2 linked regions of the Coturnix japonica genome follow. The protein of the gene in region 2 purifies or fractionates together with the protein of the main gene of each other region. This does not show direct contact. Links are inferred from orthologs where the notes say so. Each region holds a gene or a part of one and is shown on either strand. Other genes may lie near its edges.

Region 1 (4,258 bases), on a different chromosome or scaffold from region 2:
ACAATTTGTTGGGTCCACATTTAGATGAGTTTTCAGCTTTTCACAGTCCAAAAGAATTGAAAGAATAAAGCTAAACAATTTGGGTTTTTTTTTGCTTCCCTTTAGTATAACAGATAGCTACAGCTACCGCATGGTAACAAGAGCTTCACAGTAACTTTTACACTGCAAAAAAATTCTACACATTTTGCTATCCCTGCTTTTCAAAACTGCCTGCTTTCTAAATAAAATATCCATTCCAGTAAAATATCCATCATCTTTCCGCTGGGCAACCAGATTTGTATGCAGTACATTAACATACCAACAGAAGAGAAGCAGACCTAAGAAGCTGTGTCAGTTGGACACTTATTTAAGTAAAGGAACATAGAGGTAGTTTTAGAAATCAGAAGTTAGATTTTGTAGGGCTATTCTTAAATGAATATATGAGCAAGAGGGATGGTCAGGTCACATGGTTTAATGGTATTCTGACATATAAACAATGTCCTACATGGTTTAATGGTATTCTGATGTATAAACAATGTCCTACTGCAGAAATTTCTCTATAGAAAAGGTTTCCTTGCACAGAGAAGGAAGTACCCTGTGCGCACTCACGTGTTTACACAGTTATCAGCAAACCCAGCTCATAGAAAATGAAGTCACAAATAAAGCTCCTGTGAAGATGACCCTATACTCACACCCACCTTTCTGATTCCTCTCAGTAGATGGTTTGGCAAAGTTCTGCCTTGGATAACTCAGCAACGACACCTTTGGATGAGTACTCTGGGTACTTTCTTCATTACCACGATGTAAGAAATGCGATATAATTCCATATAAGAGGGGTCTGCTCAAGGCAAAAATCACAAAAGCCGTCTATGAGATATATTAACTACTGAGCATTTGAAAAAAATAACCGAACAGCTTCTCCTCAGAAGTTCTTACATCCTAATGTTCACTTCTAAAGAACATTCAGATATCTTCAGAGTAGCTATTTAAAATTCATTATGCTAAATGCAATTATATAAATAAGCACAGGCACAAGCCACCCCTCAAGACCACCCCCTCCCCATAGCTTGCACTAAGGGACGTTCTCAGCTGAACTCCAGATCACTTGCAAGCAAAGAATCAGGGCATACCAAGAACAGGTACGGAGCCATGTTGTCATGCAAATTAAACATGTGATCAGTGGGCTATTGGCTTGAGCACCACCACGTATCCCAAAATACATTTATTACTAAGCATGAGACAGATTGTGTGGGCCCAAGATATAGGGCATCACCAAACATGTCTAAACCTGCTTCTGTACCCTAACAAACCCAGTTGCATCAGAACACTGTGAATTTATATCTTATCTCACAGCGCAATAATCTTTTTACAGCTTTGCGTATCAAATCAATAATGTGTAAAGAACAGGTTTTCTTCTGACTGAAAAGACTGAGGTGGTATGAGGCTCAGCCACACAATTACAACAGCTAGTGAGCATATTCTATAGCGTTCACAGAACTTAATGCTACTTTTGAGGATGTTTGAAAACAGCCCCATGCTTGACACTGTGCGCTTGAACACAGCATGGTTAGAGCAGCTGTGTGATCCAGTCATACTGAGCTGGTGACTGAACATTTCTATGTGATTTATACAATCACTGTGGAGACACACGTGCAGGGTACATCGTGTGTTCCCAAATCAATCCTTACACTGATTTCCCATTCGCATCTTCAACGATGTTCAGCTCCTTGACCAGAAACTGTCTATCCAAGGGCACTTCAGGCTGGCCAGCTTCTGGAAAACAGATCATACAGCAAATGTCATTACCTACCACATCTAAGGACAATTACAGACCTTAACAACTTTAGATATAAATTAGAGCTACCAGTTAAATGCTGTAGCTCTCAAGTCATGCAAGGTGTTTTGGCTTTGTAGGCTGCTGGCAAACTGTTTTGCTCTTCCATCATCTGATCCGTCAATGTAAACTCTATTTACCTCAAGGATAAGCAACTGAGAACACATTTTCTTAAAAACTAATGGTATAATTTGGTGTTACGCTGCAAATAACACAGCAAAGGTTGTTTGTATCCTGTTTGTTTCCAGGGTTAGCCAAGATCACACAGCCTGTTCCCACCTGATTGCATGGCTTCAGTTACCCAGCCAGGCGGTGGATAGTAATGACAGCAGCGATGACACCACGCACAGCCCAGTACCTGCAGTGAGCACAGACGCCGCGTATTTGTACTTGTTGAACTCCAGGTATTCCCGGATCAGCTCATTGATCAGCAGGTTCTCATCAGACAGCGGTGGCCGCGGTTCGCTTTGGTCATCCAACGCGTTGAACACCTCAGCTCTGATCCTGGCTCTTATCTGCCCCAGGGCTCCTCTTTTTTCCAGCGTGTCCTTTAAAACTGTCACCATAAAAACTCAGTTAATATAAACCCAAAAGCGCTGGAGCAGCATTCACCCCCCTGCAATACAAACACCATTCCCGGATACTCGTGATGAAATTAAGAAAACCACACCCGTGTACGGATCGCTGTGTGACAACACTGTTAGATACAGATCGGTATTGCCTACAGGTGTGGGCGTTGAAGAAACATGGGGGATGCTTCAAATGCTTTTCAATGAGCAACAAACGGCTCCGCCACTCCCCAAGGCGAGCAGCCAGCAGCCTGCAGCCCCGTTAAGGCTCGGAGCGACCCTTGTCTGCCCTGCCGTCCCTCCCGCAGCCCCTCAGCGCTCCATCCACCTGCTTTCAGCTCCGCGATCGTCGCCATCTCACAACAACCACCGCCCTGACCCGGATGCGGCCAACGGCCCCCAGCGGGCGGGCACCGCGCAGGCTCTGAGGCGCTGACTGGGCGGGCTGAGGGCGGGCCGGTGTGACGGGAGCCGCTCCTAGCGCTTGTGGTCCCTTGTGCTGCCGGGATGTCCGCTGGGAAGGGCAGGCAGGGGTAAATAGCGAGCAGGGTAATAGCAGGCAGCACATGTGTGTGCGGAATTACTCTCACATTGGTGTCCTGTGTGCGCCTGCTGACTGCTCAGCGAGCGGAGGCTGAGGAAGGGCGCTCTGGTATTGCTGTAGTGCTCTCCCCTCTAATTTCAAAGAGTATTTATTAGTGTGCTAAGAGAGTCCATCCATAGAGAGTTTTGCTCGAGGTCTCTCAAAAATGAACGTTCCACAGACCAAAAACGAGATTCTGTTTAGAAGGACCCGCCTGTAACACTGCCGGGGCTGTGTGGGGCTGTGGTGGCTCCGGGGCAGGTTTGGTGCCTCGCCGTGCTCTGAGGAGCTGACTGTTGGCTCTGTGGATGATGAACCATTTCCCAAATCAGTTCAAATCTTTGCTGTTGATTTTTGTTGGAGTTTCTAATAGAGGTGGAACCAACTGGAAGAGAAATAACTTGTGTTGTCGTGCACAGAGGATGAGTAGAAATCTTACAGATTGTGTTATCTATTTGGCAGTATTTCTCCTGGCTTCTCTTATCAAGTACTACAAAAAAATTCTTCCATCTTATCAAGTGGAACTGGTGACTTTTATTGATTGTGAGAGCTATTAACTTTATAAGCACTGCAGATTAAACTGGAGGAAAGGCAGCGCTGACAGGCTCGGGGCAGCAGGAGATATGTCAGCTATTTCCACAGGTGCTGTAGTGAGCATCAAGGCACCAAAACCCACCCGTGCACCCAGCAGGGCTTTAAGATGAATGTAGTGTACAAAACAGGGCAGAAACCCTTAATAAAAATAAATCTGAGGAATCAACATGAAGGCAGCGCTGTGGATATTTTAACAAGGTGCAGCTTAGGGTGTAAAAGAACATTGTAAAGCGGCGTTCTGTCTCTAACTTCGATGGCTGCTCTGCAGGTTGAACTGATGCACTGAAATGCGGAGCGAGAGACCATCGATTTGCACCGCGGGGCGGCGGGTGGCTTCACTAGTAGCGTATTTTAGTGCGAACTGCGGGTGGAGCCGTTTTGGTGAAGCTGTTTTGGTTCAGTTTCAGTTCCCGCTAGCAACAATTAGAAGTGGCTCAGGGTTTTGAAACCAGTCGAACTGGTTCACGTTGGGAAGTCAAACGCTTGAAAACGAGACGAGGTTTTGCTGCGGCTTTTCCCCGGTCGGTGCCGGGGCTCCCGAGGGGCAGCGCGGATCCCGGGGCGGTTGGACCCCGCGGGCAGCGCGTGTTCGGTGCCGCGGGAGCCGGGGCGGCAGTTGCGACCCGCAGGTGAGCGGCAGGAGCCGAAGCTGTGCCGGTATCGCCGAGCGGGAGCCGAGCCCGTTCCTACTCTGACCCC
Region 2 (3,561 bases):
TTCGTATACTAGTTTCTCTGGCTTGGGATTATCACTGAAATCTTGGTTATCTATGCGTTGATTCGGAAGCCTGAAAGGAGGAGGAAGAAGGTAAACATCTGAAAATACAACTTATAAGCAAAGAGGTTTACTTGCATGATTAGCAACCCACTAAACCATACGTAAAACTCATGCAAGCAAAACACTGCAGCTTTCTGCCTCCAAAGTTATGTATTGAAGTACACTCCTCTAACTTCTATCGAATGACAACTCTCTGCTATAAGGCACTGCCCCCCACAGCCTTTCCCCAAGACCTACACATGACATAAAAGGCATCGGACTGAAACAACAGAAATGCAACAGTGTGACATGCAGTCAACTGAAATTAAAATAAATAAATAAATAGAAAGCCTCTTTTTGGCTCTGTGTTCAACTAATTCCCACTTCGATGTCATTTTAACAGATGCGTTTGAAATGTATTAGGATTATGGGTCCGGCAAAACATAAACAGAGGGGTGAAAATTCAATAAGAAATGGGGTTAGTGCCCTCATTCTAAATCCCCGTTCATCTAATCAGAAAGATGATGTGAAAGAACGGCATCTCCCACGTGACCTTTCTACTAAACTGACCAGAATCAGAATAGCAGAAGTAGTGCAGGTCACCAATTCATCAGTGGCGCTGTATAAAGGAGCTTACCACACACCAGCTGTTGCTTTTCACCCTTCCATAAATATGTTTGTGCTTAGAATTTCTAAGCAGTTCAGGCCTTCCATAGGGCTAAAAGCAGAGAACGAACAAACCATACCCCCCATAATGAGACATTTTCAGTACAAGCTGGTAGGCTGCTCCATTTACACCAAATAAATCCCAAGAGTTAAGCCCAAAATGACCATTAAACTATAAACAAAAAGCAACTGCCACCATCTGAACTATTTTGTTAGTGTATAAAATTACTTTAAGCCTAAAACCACTAACAAGCCTCAGTTAGGTTCAGCCATATATGAAAAAGGAACGGTCAGATAATTCATCTGCCTTATAACTCCAGTCTTCCTGCCTGTATTTATTGGTTTCCTTCATACTGCTCATATTTTGAAATATAAATAAACAAGAAGGTCCTGATCAGAGGAGAAGTTGTTCTCCCCCACTGACAGAAGCCTAACTTAATGGTTTACTGGTGTTATAACAGCATCTTTCCTTTTCTTTCCACTTAGGTTCCCATCGTCACTTAAAATCTTCAGGTCATAAAACTAATCCCACAGTAAGCATCACTAATGTGGCTTTTGCCTAATAATGGGAGTAAGTCAGAGGAGAAGCCCACACATGGCATTTCTCAGATACTTAAAGCAACAGTAAATAGCGCAATGCACAAAAACCCTTCAAAATCCTAAACAAAACAACATTTTCCCTTTAAAGATGTCTTGGGAAAGCAGGAAGTCCAAGAAAGCTAATGGGACCACACACCCTTGATCTGTCGCAAGGAACCCAAGAAAGCAGCCACCACCCACTGCCAGACCCGCGCCTGTTCTCTGCAACACAACTTGGTCATGCTGCTTTACTGTTCCCACAGTTTATTCCTTTTTGTAGTTCAGGCTCTCCAACACCCTTCAAAGAAGCACATTTCCTCACAGCACTGGAGCATTTTCCCATAGAACCTTAGCACGCAGGTCACCACTCAACATTCCCTTTCTAAGTTCTGTCACAACAATACAGCAAACCTGATGCACGCTGTAGAAAATGTCAATGAACAGACAAAGGAGAGCCACGGGAAGGCAAACACCAATGTCAGAATTAATCTCACAGTCCCTAAAAATCTCAATAGCTTCTTTTCAAGGCCAAAAACATAAAAGCTCTTCCTAAATTCTAACTAGAGAGATTGTCTCTACACTAAACGCATATTAAGCATGAAAATATAAGAGGCCTATGAATGACCACTAAAGCTGCCCTAGCACAACCATCTTTCTACAGTAATATAATCTGGAATGATGGCCAGCAAGACACTGACTCAAGTGTCTTTTCCTAGGAAATGACACCTTAGATACTAAACAGTTGAGCTTTTAATGAAGAATCAAGATTTTCAGTCTTGGAAAGTGAAGGCACTGGTAACCACTAGTTACAGAAGAATTATACATATATGGAAATAAGAAAGACAGGAAAAACAGAAGACTCCTGCACGGCTTAATTTTTCAGAGTTATTCATTTATAATCACAGAATCATAGAATCACCAAGGCTGGAAAAAAACAAGAAGATCATCCAGTCCAACCGTTCACCTATTACCAATAGCTCCCACGAAACCATATCCCTCAACACAACATCCAATCACTTACTCAGCAAAGATCTTAAAACACAAAGGACAGGAGAAAAGCTCTGCTACTTATCACACACATGCAAAGAAGACTGCAGATTCCTATTCCAGGAAATGTTATGCTGGCACACTAATATGATTTCAGTAGGAAAAAAAACACGTTAGCGTTACAGCTTGATGAACTGGACCCCTCTAAAGAGTCAACTGTCTTCTGAAACGAGGTTTATTTTAACATTAGTCAGCAACATCAGCAGAAATTACTGTTGGCCTTATCAGGATCATATATGTACACGGATGATGCAGAAGCCCACTGGAAAGTCAAATCTGTCAAATCCCAATAGAGCTCATGAGAGCAAACCGCAAGAATAACACTTACGTCTACTTGTTTCTCACAATTTATTAGCGACAAATCTTCTGTTCAGCTGTCTGGAAGTGGTTTACTGTGCAAAGAAATGAAATCAAACAGAAGGCCTAACTGACACTATAGATTTACATCTTACAGTGTTTTTGAAACATTAAGATCCATACCATACCTTGTTTTGAGCAACAGCACCCAAAGCATTCAAAAGTTAATCAGAAAACTAATGCATGAAAAGTTTTAAATGGAAAATGTGAAACAGAGAGAATATTCTAAAGACGGAAATGTTACCCACCTTTATAGAGAAGCTATGACATAAAATTCATGGCTTATTTGAAGTATAAAAGCAGCTACCACCATGAATTTTTATTTTATTTTCCTTAAAAAGCAGGTTCAAATGTTGCTTTGTAAATGACATTACCTGATTTTCTCTCCTTGACTGGATGGTGAGGAAGAAAGAGACTCAGAACGTGAAAGAATGCATGGCTTTGGAATAGGAGAAAGCACCTGATGGACATTCTGCTGGGAAGAGGCGAGGTACGAGTCACTGGTGTCTGCAGAATAAAGAAGAAAACAAAACAAAAAAACAAAAAAACACAGACTGTATTAATCATTTATTCATCCTTCTACTTGTCAGATAAGTCTGGTTTACACAAACCATGTATAAGCGCACTGTGCATGCTCCACCACCGCAGGGCTGCTAACACCCAATTATGTAAGCAACGTGAACTTTCTCGTACTGTTTATTTCCAGCAGTGTCGGGTCTGACAAAAGCAGAACAACTCTGTCTGGAAAACAGAGTCTGACATTTCAGATCTGCTGGTGACCCAAAAGCACCCTTCCTTCCTGCCTGCTCTCCTCCCTCCCACAGACAAACAAACATTTCAATTTTCTTAATTACTTTTAAGCAGTAATACCTT

The links.
Region 1: the proteins of OFD1 (region 2) and CEP20 purify together in Homo sapiens (co-immunoprecipitation; 3 studies listed by BioGRID and IntAct, with this or other methods). This does not show direct contact. The link is inferred for Coturnix japonica from reciprocal best matches to the Homo sapiens genes OFD1 and CEP20.

What each region holds. Positions count from the first base shown.
Region 1 is NC_029529.1:7,457,520-7,461,777, forward strand, and holds the start of CEP20 (lisH domain-containing protein FOPNL), read right to left. Parts: upstream 2,848-4,258; 5' UTR 2,739-2,847; coding exon 2,711-2,738; intron 2,370-2,710; coding exon 2,172-2,369; intron 1,753-2,171; coding exon 1,668-1,752; coding exon of another isoform or gene 1,664-1,667; intron 818-1,663; coding exon 678-817; intron 1-677. UniProt on the Homo sapiens protein: Involved in the biogenesis of cilia. Required for the recruitment of PLK1 to centrosomes and S phase progression.
Region 2 is NC_029516.1:110,795,010-110,798,570, forward strand, and holds part of OFD1 (oral-facial-digital syndrome 1 protein), read right to left. Parts: intron 3,196-3,561; coding exon 3,063-3,195; intron 71-3,062; coding exon 1-70. UniProt on the Homo sapiens protein: Component of the centrioles controlling mother and daughter centrioles length. Recruits to the centriole IFT88 and centriole distal appendage-specific proteins including CEP164. Involved in the biogenesis of the cilium, a centriole-associated function.